2 linked regions of the Stegostoma tigrinum genome follow. Each later gene encodes a partner of the first gene's protein in a complex. Links are inferred from orthologs where the notes say so. Each region holds a gene or a part of one and is shown in the gene's direction. Other genes may lie near its edges. The genes, in order: map3k5 and disabled homolog 2-interacting protein-like.

What was found.
Region 2: map3k5 (region 1) and disabled homolog 2-interacting protein-like share a complex: the UniProt entries of both Homo sapiens proteins name them as parts of the cytoplasmic complex. The link is inferred for Stegostoma tigrinum from reciprocal best matches to the Homo sapiens genes MAP3K5 and DAB2IP.

Annotation. Positions count from the first base shown.
Region 1 is NC_081357.1:44,908,364-44,917,914, reverse strand, and holds the start of map3k5 (mitogen-activated protein kinase kinase kinase 5), read left to right. Parts: upstream 1-5,446; 5' UTR 5,447-5,689; coding exon 5,690-6,065; intron 6,066-6,092; exon of another isoform or gene 6,093-6,283; intron 6,284-9,551. UniProt on the Homo sapiens protein: Serine/threonine kinase which acts as an essential component of the MAP kinase signal transduction pathway. Plays an important role in the cascades of cellular responses evoked by changes in the environment.
Region 2 is NC_081382.1:31,305,597-31,314,262, reverse strand, and holds the start of disabled homolog 2-interacting protein-like, read left to right. Parts: upstream 1-4,688; 5' UTR 4,689-4,925; coding exon 4,926-5,001; intron 5,002-8,666. UniProt on the Homo sapiens protein: Functions as a scaffold protein implicated in the regulation of a large spectrum of both general and specialized signaling pathways.

The DNA of each region.
Region 1 (9,551 bases):
CTGCTTGTATAGTCATTCTGGGGGGAAGCTGTAGGAGTTGGCAACATACATGCTTATTGCCTGAAAACAAAAACATGCCGGAAATCACAGTGGGTCAGTCTGTATCCATGAAGAGAGAGAGAGAGAGAGAGAGAGCAAGTTTCAAGTCTTGATGACTCTTCATTAGAGCTGGTAAGCCAAACTTACTGCTTGGCTGCATTTATTCATGGAGCACTGGGCAGCCCAGTCATCATAAATCTATGCAAATTGTTTTCCTATGATGGGCATATATCTTTTTTAAAATCATTTGTAGGATGTGACTCTTGTGCGCAGAGCCGAAATTTATTACTCTTATCTAATTGCCTTTTAGAAAGTGATGGTAAGCTGCCATTGTGAACTGCTGCAGTCCATTTGTTATAGGTAGGCCCACACTGCCACTGATGTAGGACTACTGGAAAGAAGATACTGCGGACAGTTGCTTAGTAAAATCTGCTGGTAAAATACAAAAATTCTGAAACGGAGAAGCAGGACTGCAGGTTGCAAAACAATAATGTGGGCCTTGCAGCCCTGAATAGTTTCACTGCCCCTTCACAACTTACTGGTAACATGAGAATCCTACACTTTCCTCCATTCAACTGACCAACAGAAAGAACTTACATTTATGAAGCACACGTTGTGCCCTCATGAGATCCCAAAGCGCATGTCAGTAAATAAAGTTTGTTTTTGAAGTGCACATAATATTGTAATGTAATAAATGCAGCAACCAATGTGTACCCAGCAAACTTACTCAAAAACCCAGTGAGATAATGGCTACACAGATAATCACAGGTTGGTTGAGAGATACATATTGGCCACAAAACTAGGGCAAACACCCACACTCTTTGAAATAATGCCATGTGAACTTCTGCTTGCGAGGATAGATGGGACCTTGATTTGAAGTTATCGGCAAAATATGGCGTATCCAAAAGTGCAACACAATCAGTACCTACATTTTATGCTTATGACCTAGAGTGGTACGTGGCCATATCTCAACCTTACAGTTCTAGAGAAGAGTTATATTGCACTCGCAATGTTTACTCTGATTCTCACCAGCGAAGCTACCATTCCTGCTGGGATTTTTCAGCATTTTCTGTGTTTGTTTTAAACCTACCAGCACTGTCTCAGGAGAAAATACTGTCAACTGGACCAGAGCTGACTTAAAACAGCGAAAACTGACCCCACCCCCTTAAAACTAAGCAATACTTCTGTTACCAGCTCATAATAAAGTTTTACACATAATGTTTGAATCAACTATGTCTCAAGTCAACAAATTTTGAAATTGTAGTAATCTGGACTCTGCTGGATCCTTATTAAGAAAAGTATTTAATTACATTTTCAATTAGTTGAATGTTTTTGCAGAATAACAACATATCCACCCTGTTTCTTTGGTGCTCAAAATGAATGCTGTGTCTTTTTATAGGTGATTAAAAGCTCAAGCTGCCTGAATATAGTTAGTATTGCAGGTGGTTTGGATAACCAGCCAAAAACAGCCAAATGTTCAGCCAATGTAAACAATCTCAAGAGCTTGCTGTGAATTAAACGTGGAAGTATTGGCTGAATCTGTGGCACTGTTAGTACTGGTAATGTGTTGCAAAAAAAATTGAAAAGAAATCAAAGACCTATTACATAATTATATAGAACGGCAATTTATGGAATTCACTGAGATGATCGAGGCATTTTTGATCAACAGAGTTTTTGCATAATCATAAATATTGTAACAAGAGATTTCTATACTTAATGATTTTTTTCTGATACAATACCATGAATAGAGAATGACATAATGGTTCAATATTTTGATTCATCGTGAGACCAGTTGAGGAAGTGTTTTACGTTAAATGTTGATTCTCAAACTACAGTACTGTAATATTACCAGAAATAGTTTATGAAAACAAAACTGAATAGCTGGAAACTTGAGGAATGGGGTTCAACTCCTACTCTCTCAATTTTGGCAGTTCTCAGTGATAAATCTGGGTGGAGCATTAGTTGTTATTTCCTGGACGCAATGAGTTAGAGTATTTGATGAAAAGGAGTTGTGTCTGACACTGTATAATTAGCAAGGCCTTAATTTAGCTTGCTGTCAGTTTAAATGCAAAGAAAACCTCTAACCACGCACACAACTAACCGGCTGTATTAGATTCTTCCTGTTCAGTTTCAATACAAACAATTCCTCAGAACTGGAATATTACCCTTTATATTGTCATCTTCTTCCCAGTATAGCAACGCACAAACTGTTTATGGAAATCTCCTCTTCCAGTTTTATGGCAAGTCTGCCTTTTCCTGGTATTACTTTTGTTAAGTCAAATTCATATAGTTTGTAAAATTACATGACCAGTATTTCCACTTGAAAATTACAGTATTTACAATAAAATTCATCTTGTCTTCACACAGCATACTGAAATGCTTCAACATGATTTTAATATTCTTAATAATCACAATATACATTCACTGCACAACTAGTCTGAGTGTATCTACAGTTTTCAGCCCTGGTGTATGATAGCTGAAAGGCTACAAAAGCCATGCACACGTCATCTACAGTTGTTTGTTTAAAGTTCAGCATTTGGCTGAAAATGTCTGTGGTTAGAAAATATTATATATTGCATATTAAATTTGGAATGGGATATAGGATTCCGTCAGGAGCACAAAAGCTGACGTTTCGGGCCTAGACCCACCAATTCCATTTTGATTTAGCCACTTTCTGCTTCCCCCACCCTTCCCTCATACTTGATGCTTTGCATTACCCATAATGGTCTTTGCATGTAAATAATTAATTGGCTGCATTGAGAATAGTTAGTCAAAGGAAAATATATCATGGTGATTGATTTAATTTATTGTCTCATGTAGCTAAGTACAGTGAAAAGCTTTGTTTATGAGCTGTACAGGCAGATCATATTCAGCAAGGACACATAGATCATTGGGTGAAAAAAAAGTTAGACAGAGGTATATGTTATGAAGTTGCATAGAGTTCATGAATTAGAAGGATTGTAAGAAAGCTGATATGTCATCCAAGATATGTAAGCAGAGGGTTTTTGAAAATCAGGGTGAGAGCAAACTGCCATCTGAGACATAAGCATCTAGCTCTCTCAAGAAATCAATAAGCTGTCTAAGAAAGCACCATGTATCCATAAGAGGTACCATGACACTGTTAGTTAAGAGTCCTCACAGAAGAATTCATAGAGAAAACATCCCTAACAGCAAGATTAGTAGAATAAACGTGTTTATGATTGGAACGATAGCGGAGAAGGTAGAGCATTCCCAAACTTTGAGAGACAAAGTTTTAATTTTTTTTCTTATTACACGGGTTATATAAGGGGGACTTGTGTTTAGTGGAACAGCATACCAGTAGAATTTTGTTCAGTTAGGAAATGGTTAGGAGTTGGGGGAATTATTCAGTTTGTTAGTAATTCTGTTAATGCATTCACTGTTAGCATTAAATAAATAAATTGTTACTTGTTACTTATAAAGTAAATATCAGGGATTTTCTTTCATTTAACCGCACTTTTTCACAGATTAGGCGAGGTGAGGCAAGCTTCTTTGGATGATTTGGGTTTAATTATTGGAAGAGGACCTCTACTCCTGCTTCTAAGTTTTAGAGCAGATTTGTAGGTTGTGTTGTGAATGTTATTGTTAGTTGGCTCCTGCTGTAACAGACTGGGAGCTTGTGTTTCAACTTTAATTATCAGAGAGGTTCGACCTCCTCTCCATACCACTTGCAAGTTACATCGCGCAGGGTGTGCACTAGGCAAGATCGGCATTAGCAAGATCGGCATATTTTGAAGTTAGAGAATCCATTCATCAATCTAGTAATGGCAAAGAAAAGCAATTCTTGAAGCTGTTGGTACATGTGTTCAGGCTTCTCTATGTTCTGCTTGACTGAAGTGGTTATGGGAGAGCATTGCTGGATGTAATGGGTCTTTAATCATGTTGGCAGCCTTTCCACAGCAACAGGCCATGTAAATGGAGTCCACGGATGGGAGGTTAGTTTCCATGATGGTCTGGACTGTGCCCACACCTTCTGCAGCTTCTGATGGTTCTGGGCAGAGCAGTTGCCATACACCTGGACTTTCAATGGTGCATCTGTAAAGGTTGGCGAGAGATCTTGTGGGCATGCCAAATTTCCTGAGCTGTCTGAGGAAACAGAGATGTTGTGTGTCTTCTTGACAGTCACATCTATGTCGAAAGTCCAGGACAGGTTGTCAGTTATCGTCCCTCTGAGGAACTTGATGCTCTCCAGCCTCTCAACCTCAGCACCACTGATGTTTGGGGGTGTGTTCTCCCCTCTTTCTGAAATCAATGATCAATTCATTAGTTTTGCTGACATTGAGCGATGTTGTTCTTGTTGCACCACATCACCAAGCTCTCTATCTCCTTTCTGTATTCTGACTCATCGCTGGCTGATATCTGTCCTACCACAGTGGTGCCATCAGCAAACTTATGGATGGCGTTCATTCAGAATTTGGCATCCACGGATGTACAGGGAGTACAGTAGGGGGTTGAGAACGCATCCTGGGGGGGGGAGAGGGGGGGCTCCAGTGTTGAGTGTTATCATGGAGGAGGTGCAGTTGTCAATCTTCACTGATTGTGGTCTGTGGGTCAGAAGCATGAGGATCCAGTTGCAGAGGTGGTGGTGAGAAAGCCATTCGGTTTTATGTAAGAGTACTAAAGGATATAAAGTCCGGTTCTCAATAGACTTGCCAGCTTTGGCTGGAAATATTCCAGATGTCATCACGTGACCTTCTATCGTAAAGTGCCCTTCCGCCAGACTGAACATACCAATTATCAGCGAGCCCTACATTTTCAATGCGTCCTGGTTGTTAATTTTGACAGTCTGGCCACCCCACCCTTGACTAAACATCCTGTCAACCCATTGTGTCTAAACTTATCTGAGAAGAACGGGCACACTTCCTCAAGGCGTGGGCTCCAGAAATAGATTCCAGCAGGAATATAAATATACCTGCGGGAGGTCAAGAGGCGACGGAAGGAAATGGGAGGTTGGAGGGGTGGGGGGGAACGAGGTTGTCCCAGTTTGGGTGCAAGGGACCCGATGATTGCCTTGACGGGGCTCTTTAGGAATCCAGGTCAAGCAAAGAAAGATTGGCGCTCTGATAAATAGTGCCAACATTGACGCAGTGCATGAGTTACAGTTCACTATCAAAGGCGTGTTTGCCATCAACATGGCACACACAGTGTAGCCCATATTTGTAACTCTGTAAGATAACCAAAGATGCAGTGAGGAAATACATTTGAAACATGACGTGCATGTTTAAAAATCCCACCCAGAGCTCGTTCAGTGGTGGGGTACTCGCATAAACTCTATTGCTATACTGTACTCCACGCCTCCTCCTGGCGTGTTGCACTGGGCCTTCGGATTGGATGTCCTCTTTTGGTAATCGGACAGCCCCTAAAAATCTAGACTTGGGACTGACTGGTTAGTGTAACCAGAGCAGCATACACACAGGCAGGGGCGATCGGACTAATTCCTGCAAGTATTAATATCGCTGCGTGGAATCACGAGCTTTTTGCAGTGTGCTTCTTTTCAAGTTCATGTAATTCCTTCGTATTCCCATGTCTGTGAGAGCAGGTTGGTTCGCTACGCTCTAGCGAGAGGCGCAGCGGCGACATAGTGTCGCTGAAACAGCAGCAGCAGCGGCGGTTCCGCTTCGCTCTAACCGATATGAGCCTGGACCAGGAGGCGGCAGCAGGCGCGGCCCTTGAGGGAGACGGCGGGGGCCTCGCTGTCCCGGTGCCGCTCCTGTGCCCGGGGCAGGGCAGTGCCAGCGCCAGCAGCAGTGTCCCGGCTGGCACCTACTGGCAGGACCACACGGCAGCCGCTTCGGTACCGTCCTCAGTGCCGGCTGCTCGGCTCAAGAACCGGCCGACTACCGTGGTGTACGTGGTGAACGAGGCGGCTCAGCTGCAGCTCGCCGAGAGCCTGGCTCTGCAGTGTTTGAGGGAGGCGTGCGAGAGTGTCAGCGCCTCCCTGGATACTGTGCCTTTCGAGAAGCTGGACTTCGGAGAGACCGCCGTCCTGGATTATTTCTACAATGCAGGTAAGCTGAGAGAGGGAGAGCTCTGAGCCCTGCTGCTTCTGCACAAATGTCCTCTTTTCTGTTTTAAGGAAATTGAAGACCTCGAGTCCTAACATTGCCGTAGGTGACCTTTACAGTCTGGAATGATGCACCTTTTTGAATGCTTGGATCCAGCTTCATCCGGTGGCTCACTGTAAACTGGAGGGTGAAACTTGAGCCACAACTTTGAAAGAGACAAGGTTGGTGTTGGCACTGTGAATCCAGCCTGTGTCGCTCTGCAGTACCCAAAGTGCCGCTGTCTTTGCACAGATATTGCTTGAGTGGTGTTCGATCTGTTAGAGACTGGTGAGCAATTGTCTGTTTAAATTTGTTGCCATTTGTTCTGTGCATAGACCGAAGCGTTCAGAATAATGTGTAACAAATAAAGCAGGTTCGAAGCGATGTGTTGCAGTACTTCTCAGAAAGACCGTATTAATGGCGACTTATGTTTCTCGTGGAGATTGAAACCATGACCTAACAGTGTTGGCACAGTATTCTGACACGAGTAATTTGTATGGTGCTACTGTATGGACTCCACTGCAAAATCACTTTTGCCTGGACCAGTATTCCATTTATTTTTTAAAAAGCTAAATTTTGAGTTAAATGTAACGTTGATCTGCGTTCTGCCAAACTATTGATGTTAAGGAGAACACTACTTGTAATAAAATTTGACAAGGTTCAGTTGTGTTCATCTGATACTGATCTTCACCACAGGTGAGTAATAATCAATAAATGTTTAGACTGTTCTGCTTGGTGCTTTTCCTGATTATCTGGTCAGAGGAACATTGCATCTGCCTTATTGAAGGAAGAAAGCACTGGGAAAGTTAAGACCTGGTTGGACCAAGAATTATTCAAGAGGATTTATTAGAACGGGTGACACTAAGTAAAAACTGACATCACCAGCAGATGTTGGGATGTAGCCAAGGATACTGAAGGAAGCAGTGGTGGAAAGTGCAGTTTGTTTTCAGTTTGTTCTTGAGATGTGGGAGTCTTTGGCTTGGGCAGCATTTATTGCCGATCTCTCTACCAAGATAGCCGTTGACTACCTTCCAGGTCAGGAGTCACATGTTAGGCCAGAAGAGGCAAGAATGACAGATTCCCTTCCCCAAAAGGATTTAATGAACTCGATTTTTTTTTGTTTTGACATCTGATTACATGGTTACCTTACACTGAAGTTTATAATTCCAGATTGCATTTTAATTAAAGTTTCACCATCTGCCATGGTGGAGTTCAAACGGATGTCCCCAGAACTTTAGTCCAGGGTTCTGGATTACAAGTTCAGTCACATTACTTCCAATCCTACTTAGATACAGGGATGGTGTCAAGAGACTGGAGAAATGTAAGTGTTACGTCTTCGTTCAGAGGGTCTAAGGATAAATTTTAATGGGTAACACATTTCACGTGGGTTGCTGATGTAAAATGCACAAACTTCCAAAAGGCATTTGGTAAAGTGCCACATAGCCTTGCTGGAAACATTGAAGGTTCTTTTATCAGCCTGATCCCTGTGCAGACGTTGTTTTCTGAGAAGAGATTGGATTGACTGGGCCTGTATTCACTGGCATTAAGAAGAATGAAAGAAGACATCATTGAAACTTATAAAACGCAGACAGGGCTGGACAGAGTGGATGCAGAGATAGTGTTTCTGATGATGAGAGGGTCCAGAGCAAGGGGTCACAGTCTCAGATTACGCACAGGCCATTTCAAACTGAAATGAGGAGAAATTTCTTTACTCCGTGTAGTGAACCAATAGACTTCTGTACCACAGCAGGCAGTGGAGGTAGAGTTGCTGAGTATATTTGAGAAATAAATAGATTTTTAGAAGATAAAGGCATGGAGAGGTGTGCAGGCTGTGGTAGTTGAGAAACTGTCAAAATTATCCACATGGAATAGTGGAATGGGTTTGACAGGCCAAATGGCCTATTCTTGCCATCAGTTTTTGTGTTTCTATAGAACAAAATGGACAGTGACTTGATATGAAGTCGACTGACTGGAAATAGAAATGAGTGACAAATGATTTTCAGACTGCACAATTTCAGAAATTGCTGGTGATTTAAAATCTTTCTAGGTATTGTGGATGGTGAGAAGACTTTAAATAGAAGAAAGAGGTTTTAAAAGAACAAAGGCTAATGGAATAGGTGGACTCCTAGCAGATCAAATTTATTATAGAGATGTGTGGAAAGAGACATTTGTGTAGGATAAGCAAGGAGAGGCAAAGCAAAATAAATGACACACAATTCTAAAGTGGTTGCAGGAGCAGCGAGGCCTGGAATATAAGAGCCTGAGTCATTGAAAGTGGAAGTTTGAAATAATGATTTAAAAGGTCTACAGAATCCCGAGCTTTAAAAACATGCAGACAATGTAAAGAGCAAGGAAGTTTTGATGAATCTTTTACAAAATACTGTTTTTTGTCTTTGCTGGAGTTCTGGACATACCACACCATATGCCGAGAGCATCGCTTTAGGAAAGATACAAATACATTAGAGATTGGCTTTTGGGATGAGGTGTTTCGTAAAGGAGGATGGATTTGGGAAGTTTAAGTTTTCCCTGGAGAAGCAAAGGTGGAAAGGAGATTTAATAGAAGTGCTCAAAACCGTGAGGGTTTGCAACAGAAAGAAGTTGCAATTGGTGGAAAGGTCAGGCAGTGAGAACATGCTGCTATAAAGGGAAGCTATATAAACTCATGTTGTCTGCTTTTGGAACAGACAAGGTTGAGCGTGACCTGATAGAGATGTACAAGCCTATGATGGGCAAAGATAGAAATTAGCTGTTCCTATTAGCTGAAGGGTGAGTAACAACGGGACATAATTTAAAAGTGAAAGGCAGGAAGTTAGAAGGAATTTGAGGAAAAGTCTCACCCAGTGAATAGTGGGATTCTGGGATGCACTGCCTTTGGGAGAGTAATTGAGTTGAGTTACCTCACAACCTTTCAAAAAAAAGTTCTTGAATGAACTCTCGGAGTGTCATAATATTCAAGGCCAAGAGTCTAGTATGGAGAAAATAGCATGAGTGTAGGTTGGAGTGTATTTTTAGCAGTACAGACTCAATGGGCCAAAGGTACCTTTCTGTGTGATTTTGTAATGATAAAGTCATAAGATGTCAGAGCAGAAGTAGGCATTCAGCCCATCGAGGCTTCTTTGCCATTCAATGTGATCACGTGATCCAATGATCCATAAGATTATAAGAAAAAAGAACAGGAGTAAGATATTCAGCTCCTCAAGCATGCTCTGCCATTCAATAGGATCATGGCTGATTCAACATCCCTCACATCCACTTTCCTGCACTGTCCCTACCGATCAAGAATCTATCTATCTCAGCTTTAACTATACAAAAGGACACTGCCCCCGCAGCTGTCTGTGGCAAGGAGTTCTAAAGATTCATAACCTGAGAGGAGAAACTTTTCCTCCTCTCAGTCTTAAATTGATGTCCCTTTGTTGTGAGACTATGCCCTCTGGTCTGAGACACTTCCAT
Region 2 (8,666 bases), on another chromosome or scaffold:
ACTTGTACCCAAGCTGGCGCCATAAGAGGCAGACATTGCAAAAGCTTTTCACTATACTTTTACAATGGAGTACACGTGCCAATAAAGAATAAAAGGTATTCTATTCATGTGCTTTGGCAGACACCCTTGAGACATAGTTACTTCCTTAATATCATTCACAACAGTTTGTTCTAGGGAATAGCATATATAGGTTTATGATATGAAAATGGTGCATTTTTAAAATTAAATATTTATAACCTCAACTAAATGAGATTGCTACACAAGGATCAACATATGAATCTCCATTCATTTTAACATATTAAAAATATAAAATTATATTTCATAGTTAGTGTACATGCAGAATGCACTGACACAGAATGTTTAAAATGAAGCAGTGCTAGATAGTGGACAAAGACACATCCCTTCCTAACGTGCTCAATGCTTTCTATGCTCGGTTCAAGCAGAATTCAAGCACTGCGGTCACGCCAACTGTAATAGCCCCAAACATACCTGTTCCCTCTGTTACCAGTTCAGATGTCAGATCGTTCTTCCTAGGAGTCAACCCAAGGAGAGTGTTGAGCCTGGACTGTGTCTCTGGCTGAGCACTCCGATCTTATGTAGAGTAACTGACGGAGGCATTCACTGACATCTTTAACCACTCCCTTCTCCAAGCTAAAGTCTCCACCTGCTTTAAGGAAGCCACCATCAGCTCCATAACTAAGGAAGCACATGCAACATGCCTTAATGACTACTGCCCAGTGGCTCTGACCTCAATAATCATTAAATGCTTTGAGAGGCTGGTCATGGCCCACATCAACCTCAGTCTCCCAACCTGCCTCGATCCCCTACTGTTTGCCTACCGACATAACAGGTCCACAGAAGATGCCATATTCCTAGCTCTGCACTCATCCCTGGAATGTCGACACAGCAAAGACACGTACGTCAGACTCTTGCTCATTGTCTACAGCTCTGCCTTCAACACCATTATTCCCTCCAAACTGATCTCAAAACTCTGTGATCTTGGACTCTGCTCTGCCCTCTGCAACTGGATTTTCAGTTTTCTGACCCATAGGCTACAATCAGTGATGACAGGTAACTGGACCTCCTCAGCAATAACATTCATTATTGGACCCACCCCAAGGATGTGTCCTTAGCCCTCTTCTGTACTCCCTTTACATCTATGACAGTGTTGCCAAATTCCAAATAAACGCCATTTACAAGTTCGCTGATGACACCACTGTAGTGGGACGGATATCTAACAACGACAAGTCTAACAACAGAAGGAGATAGTGATGTGGTGCAGTGAAAACAATCTTTCTCAACATCAGCAAAACTAAAGCACTGATCATTGACTTCAGAAAGAGAGAACACAGCCCCTCTATATCAGCAGAACTGAGGTTGAGAGGATGAACAGCATCAATTCCTCAGAGTAATGATAACCAACAACCTGTCCTGGAATCGCTACATAAATGTAACATTCAAGAAGGCACAGCAATGCCTCTTCTTCAGGCAGCTCAGGAAATTTGGCATATCCACAAGGTCCCTCACCAAATTCTACAGATGTACCATTGAAAGCATACTGTCCAGGTGCATAATAGCCTGATATGGTGACTATTCTGCCCAGGATCATAAGAAGCTACAGATGATAGTGTGCACAGCCCAGACCATCATTGAAGCCAACTTTCCATGTGTGGAGAGATAGTAGAAACTGCAGATGCTGGAGAATCTGAGATAACAAGGTGCTGGATGAACACAGCAGGCCAAGCAGCATCAGAGGAGCAGGAAGGCTGATGTTTCGGGCCTAGACCCTTCTTCAGAAGGGTCATTTTCTGAAGAAGAGTCTAGGCCTGAAACGTCAGCCTTCCTGCTCCTCTGATGCTACTTGGCCTGCTGTGTTCATCCAGCCCTACACCTTGTTATCTCTTTCCATGCGTGGACTTCAATTATGCAACTTGCTGCTCCGGAGAGGCTGCCAACATCATCAAAGACCCACCACACCCCAGTAATGATCTCCAACAACCTCTTTCATCAGGCAGAAGATACAGAAGCCTGAATGCATGCACAATCAGGTTCAGGAACAGTTTCTTGCTAGCTCTTATTAGACTGATGAATAGACTCTCTGGCCTCAAAACGTGCCAATGTTGATCTCGCCGAGCACATGGCCTGTGCAATGTAACTTCTGTCGAAGTCTTTTTGATCTGTACATCCTTTGCTTACTATGATCCTTCTGTATTGCTTGTAAAGAAAGCTATTCACTGTGTTTTGGTACATGTGACAATAAATAAGCCATTCAATCAATCATAATATTAAAATTAGCTGTAAAATCAGTATGAGGCTTGGGCTTGTGAAGCATACTAGTTATTAGATTGACATCACTTTTGATTCTATACATTTTACTCAAATTGACATGTAGTATGTGTTTTTGGAAAGCCTCTTCCTACAACTTGTTCATTGATAATTTTAAACCTGTGATGTATTTTAAATAGGGATATGAAACTAAGATGAGTAATTCAAAAGAAGTTACAGATTAGATGTGATCTAAGTGAATATACTATTGGAATAATCCTAAGCGATGGAAGAATACCTGATTTTCTCAAGTCCTTGAGTATATATTCTCAGCTGCTGAATTACAAACCGTGGGCTCAATTTGACACACTTTGTGTTGTGATAAAAATACATTGACATCGCATTTCATGATTGACATCAGTTTGCAAAGCTATTCTCCAGTCTTGCCTGCTGTGCTACATTGGTCCCCATCATAACTCACTTACACTGACTTAAAACCTATTCATTGACTGTTTCTGTGTAGAAATTGCCTGATCAGATGAATATTGATAATAATATGAAGACTTGGCTGTTCCAATTTAACCTACAACACTGACATCCAACAAACAATGTGTAAAATTTCCCATACATGGCCTGTACACAAAAAGGGCAAATCCAACTCAACCAATTAGCAACAAAAACAAAGTTGCTGGAAAAGCTCAGCAGTTCTAACAGCATCTGTGGAGGACAAAACAGAGTTAACGTTTCGGGTCCAGTGACCCTTCCTCAACCAATTAGCACCTTGTCAATCTCCGCTCCATCATCATCGAAATGATGGAAGGGGCCATTACCCAGTGCCACTTGCAGAGGAGTTAGCCTGCTCACTGATACTCAGTTTGGGTTTAGCTACTTGTACAAAGAATTGTATAGTACAGGAACAGGCCCTTCAGTCCACCTTCCGTGCTGACCTGGGAGCTATGTACCTGGACCCCAAGACTCCTCTGTATATCAATGCTTCTAAGGGTTCTGCCATTTACTCTCCTGACTTCAGTACAGCCTACGTCCAAAGGTGGAAAGAGTTAAATGCCAGCGGTGAGGTGAGAGTAACTGCTTTTCACATCAGGGAAGCATTTGATTGAGTTTGGCATCAAGGAGTCCTAGCAAAAAAAAAATCAATGTGCACCAAGGAGAAGCTTCCCATTTTTTGGAATTGCACCTAGTATAACAAAAGATGTACATTTGCACCACATATGCACCAGGCAATGTTAATCTCTACAAAAGAGAATCTAACAACAATCCCTTGATGTTCATTGGCATTACCATTGCTGAATGGTATTATTAATTTTTAAATTAAATTTCTCGTGGTTCTCATTGAGCAGAAACTGAACAGGGTCAATTATATTAATACTGTGGCTACAAGAGCCAGTCAGAGGCTGGGAATTTTGCAGGGAATAACTCACCCTCTCCCAAATGCCTGCCCATCTCCAACCGATCACAAGTCAGGCAATACTGTCCATTTGCTTGGGTGTTTGCAATTTCAACAACTCTCAAGAACCTTGACATCACTCAGGACAAAGTGGCCTGCTTGATTGGCAACACATCAAATACCTTCGACATAAAGTACTTCCATCAGGCGCACATAGGGGCAGCAGTTTTTTTTTGCAATCTACAAGATGCACTACAGTATTTCATCAACTTTCCTTTGACAGTAGCTTTCAAACCTGCAACCTCCATTACCTCGAAAGAAAAGAACAGCATATGTTTGGGAACACTATTGTCTGCAAGATTACACTAAGCTACTCACCATCATGATTTGGACGTATATTACCGTTTCCCACCGTTGATGGGTCAAAATCTCTTTCTAATAGAACCGTGGTGTCTCACTATCCCAAGGGCTGCAGCAGTTTAAGGAGGCTAGTTCACCATCACCTTCTGCAAGGCAATTAGGGATTGACAAAATGCTAGCCCAGCCATTGAAGTCCCCATCCTATGAAACAATAAAATCATAGCAATTCGTTTCTTCCTTCATATTTCCAACAGTTTTAGCATTTTGTTTGTGCTTCAGAATCACGCCTGGCTGCAGCCTGCAGTCGTTTCCTGAGAGATATTAAAATGACATTTAACCTGCAGCAATGTCAAATGAATCCACACACACATTGCTGTATTGTCAAAGTTGCAAAAGTCTTCTCGCCTCTTGACATAGCGGATACACCCCCGAAACAGCTGATTGGTTGTCCGGCTTGAAACTCAACCTAAAAACGCATTTGTGAATGGTTAATATGTTTATCAATCAGAGAGATTACGGTATATGATTGGGCTGCCAGACCGCCTATCAAATTACTCCCTGCTTGTGAATGGGTTATCCACTCGTCAATCGCCTCGCAACCTTCAGTCAGATTGAGAGAAGGAGGCGGGAGGCGGAGATGCTCCCGCCTCCAGAGGCACGGAGGCAGGTGGTTTAATTCGGAATGAATAAAAGGCGCTGACTTTGACCGAAGATTGTGGGGAAATTATTTAAAAGTTGTCATTATTCGCCTGACTGGTTGGACGAGAAGAAGACAAAAAGGAATTGAAGTAGGACGTCGAACCTTTTCTGTTGGTGTTTGGGTGTGGAACGAGAGACGACCGTTAGTCGAAGTCATGGTGATGTGAGGCGGCCATTCGGCACTGACTTTGGTTCCATGGAGGCGATCATCGAGGGGGACTCGCTCCTTTACTTTGCTGCTAGTTTGTACCAGGGTTGGCTCCGAGTTTACGGTGAGTCTTGGCGGAGAATAATGAGGATTGTGCTGGGGAGGATTATTATGAATGTACCGCCGTGGGAATTCTCCAAAGCGCAAAGTTTCTGCCCCTGCAGATGTGTGGACGACAGGTGCAATCTGTCGCCTGGACTTTCCCACCCTCCACTCAAAATATGATAAAACATGACGAACGTGAAGTTGTCTAGTCTCAGCATGTTGGTTTGGCGATTAATTTCTCTATCTTCGGAAATCGGCAAGGTGTAGAAGCGTATGGGAACGCTATTTTTGTTTTTTTAATATTAAAACATGATTTTATTTTGTTATTTAGTCAAGCTGTGACCTTGCTTTAGTCCCTGGAACAGTTCCCAGGGCATGAGCGATTTACCTCCCTCCCCGGAGCGTGTTCTTGTTGGGTGTAGGATGGATACACGTGTGGTGGGAAAAGTGCGAACACCAAATGTGAATGAGGGTGTGTGCATGCCGCTATCGCAGATGCAAGTGCCAACTTGGTGGTAGACTATAAATTGTCAGCTGAAATGTTGTGGACCTAAACAGAATGGGGTGCATTGAGGCGAAAAAAAATTGAGTAGAACATCTCGAATTTGACACGAGTCAAAGCGCGGGCACAGCACGCCCATCACGGGACGTGCCATTATTCAAACTGGCTGAAGAATGTGCGCTAATCTTTGCATGTACTGGTTAGATAAACCTATTGGAAGAGAAGTGCAGGTTTCGGGCAGCTTTTCAAGATGTGGAAAATGTGCAGAGCATGCGTAGGTGGTGCAGTTGAGTTGTGGGTGTCGTGTTAAGCTTGCATGTTGGCCACTGAAGGTATGCATTGACTTTGAAGGACATGTATAGACTGATTATGGTACGTGTAGGCTATGTTATGAAAAACACTTGTACATGAGACAGTGATCAGGTGTAAGCAGTAGTGTTTAGCAGTATACTGTTTCCTTGTCCTGTTTTGGATATTGTGCAAAATCATTTTAACACATGATGTACTTGCTGCCAAGGAACATGTTATCATGCATTTAGGTGTTTGAATAACATTTTAATTTTCAGCTTTAGCTAGCACATTTCATGTTTGCCAATCATCAACACATCAGTTTCTGTAAAAGCATTAAGAATCTTGGTCAACTGAACAAAGTACTAAAATTAGCTACCAGCGGACTGCATGATAGCTTAGTAGTATAAAATAGAGGCTTGGTAAAGTTCTTGCTGTATGTATTGCTTGTTTTGTAAATATGCAGTTCTGTCTTGCAGTGTACCATATTCTTAATCAGTTATGAATATTGTCCAATTTTGAGTTTTACTGTTTGTAAATATTCTCTTTTTGGCCCTAAAGGGCCTTGCTACAGTACACTTCTGTGGTGTCTGTCACACTTGTAGTACCTTGCATAAATTGATATTATTCATTTGTTAGCATAGGATGTATGATGGAGAGTCAGGGTTAGTGTAAAATAACTTGCTTTTTTTAATAGTGCTCCTCAGAACTGCCAAAAAGCTTTTACAGGCACTGAAATACCTTAAGTGTAATACCGAAATACCATTTATAAGTAATGTGGGAAACAACAGCCAATTTGTATGCAGGAAGTGCTTAAATATGAAGGTATGTCTTATGGTAATTTCACTCATGATGCTGAATAACAGGTAATTATTAGGTAGAATAACTGCTCTTCTGTGAATAGTGCCATGAGATATTCTACATTAACAAACAGGCAGATGGAGTCTTAATTGAATGTCTCATTTGAACATGGCGCTGCAGACATTGCACCTGTTCTTCTGCACTAAACTGAAGTGTTAGTAAGACACTTTATTCAAGCTCTGGAGTGGGACTCGATGGAAAGTTGTGACTCAGATGAACTACAGCTGTCGCTCAGTTTAACAACCTTAATCCTGTTTTATGAATAAGAAGAGGCTCAAAGGGATTGTAAGTGATGCATTATATTATCCCTTGATTGAGATGGAATCAGCTGAGACATCTTCGCCTTTGGAAAAGAAAGATGACTTTTGCTAATTTGTTCGCATTACTAGTTTAGTTGATGAGGGTATCCCAGTAGTTGTTGTCAGCTTGGAATTTCAAAACACTTTTCATACAGTATCTCCTATTAAACTTACTTCCATTATCAAAGCTTATGAAATTAATGAGAAGCTACGACGGGAGATGTAGATTTTTAGCTTAATTTTTTTGGGATAGTTATTGTCAGTTACTATGGATCTAGCTGGAGACCAGTTTCCAGTGATGTTGCAAAGAAAACTGCATTGGGGTCTTTACTTTTCAGTAACTTAGCACCCTTCAAATAGAGGGAATTATCTTGTGCGTGATGCATAGACCTATGGAAGTCTTACGATTGAAGAAAACAATAAACAACTGCAAGCAGGTCATGATGATGTTTTGGAGGAATAGACGTTGATATTTGGCAACTGATGTTGCATTGGGAAAAGGTGTATGTGCATGATTGATGTTCTGTATATAAATTTTTTTTTCTTTAGGGAACTGAACTGAAGTCTAGGAGATTCCAAGATTCAGTTTCTCAACCACTGTGAAGCTTATGGTGAACATCTTGGAACAGTCCCAGTGACCATCTTGTCTAGTAAGGAAGAGGATGGGAACTTCTGCCTATGATATTGATCCAAGTTGGCGCATGTTCTTTGACTGCCTCAGTGGAAAATATTCCCATTTCGGGCCCAAACCCTGATGGAGGCAAGGCATTAAGGCATTCATCTGAAGTGATGGATGGCTGGACTGTCTCAAGATGAGGCATGGCAGGAGTGACAGATGATAGGCAAGACTATTTTGGAATGCATATGTGCCAAGAACCTGGATTTGGATTGCCACCAGAACTCAGATTGTTGGTTGAGCTGAGCTGCCACTTGGCAAATCTTTATGCTGGCTTCAGCTTAATGCCAATTCAGTGACCAGCCGACCAGAGCTATGGCCTCTGCTAGTGCCCATGTCCCAGGCCAGGCGGTCTGAAATACAGTCAGGGTGACTATGAAGAAGGTGGAGGAAGGATTTCTCGTTGACCGGACCTTCTTTGGGAAGAGAGTCCTCCTGGATTGCTGTGCTTTCCAAGCAGCAGATATTTTCTGTCTGCAGGAGTTCCCTAGCAGTGGCCAATTTGACATAACATTCAGACCTGTGAAGCAATATGAATGTCTGCTGACGGTATTTGAGGAGAAAGGTGGTGAGGATTGCCTCTCTGCCCTGTCTGTGGCACCATTGTTTGCACTCACTGCACAGAGTAGCAGGTATAACCCCTATGCCCTGGCAGCAAATGTCCTAACCTTCCTGGGTAGGTATCTAAGCTTCAAGGAGGCAGCACCAATGTATAGTGGACCCCTTTGGAATCTGGACCAGCAAAGAGCGGTTAATGGTGACTCTGAAGGTGGACGCTATTGGCACATCCTCCAGCTTTGTGATCGGAGGGATTTGAGGCTACCTGATATGTGGGCCAGTCCAAGTGAGTGCCGAACTGATGGGAGATGAGGGTGTATTGCACTCTGCTGATAAATGGCCCTCTCCAGGAATTGCAAACTGGAGAGCCACTTGACTGCAAAGGGCCCAAGCGTTGCAACCTGTCTAGGGAAGTGAGTCAGCTGTATAAGGCCTCCCCAAGATGGAGGATGCACCACATATGCTCAGATTGCCAGAATTGGCAATGGAAGCCGTAGACA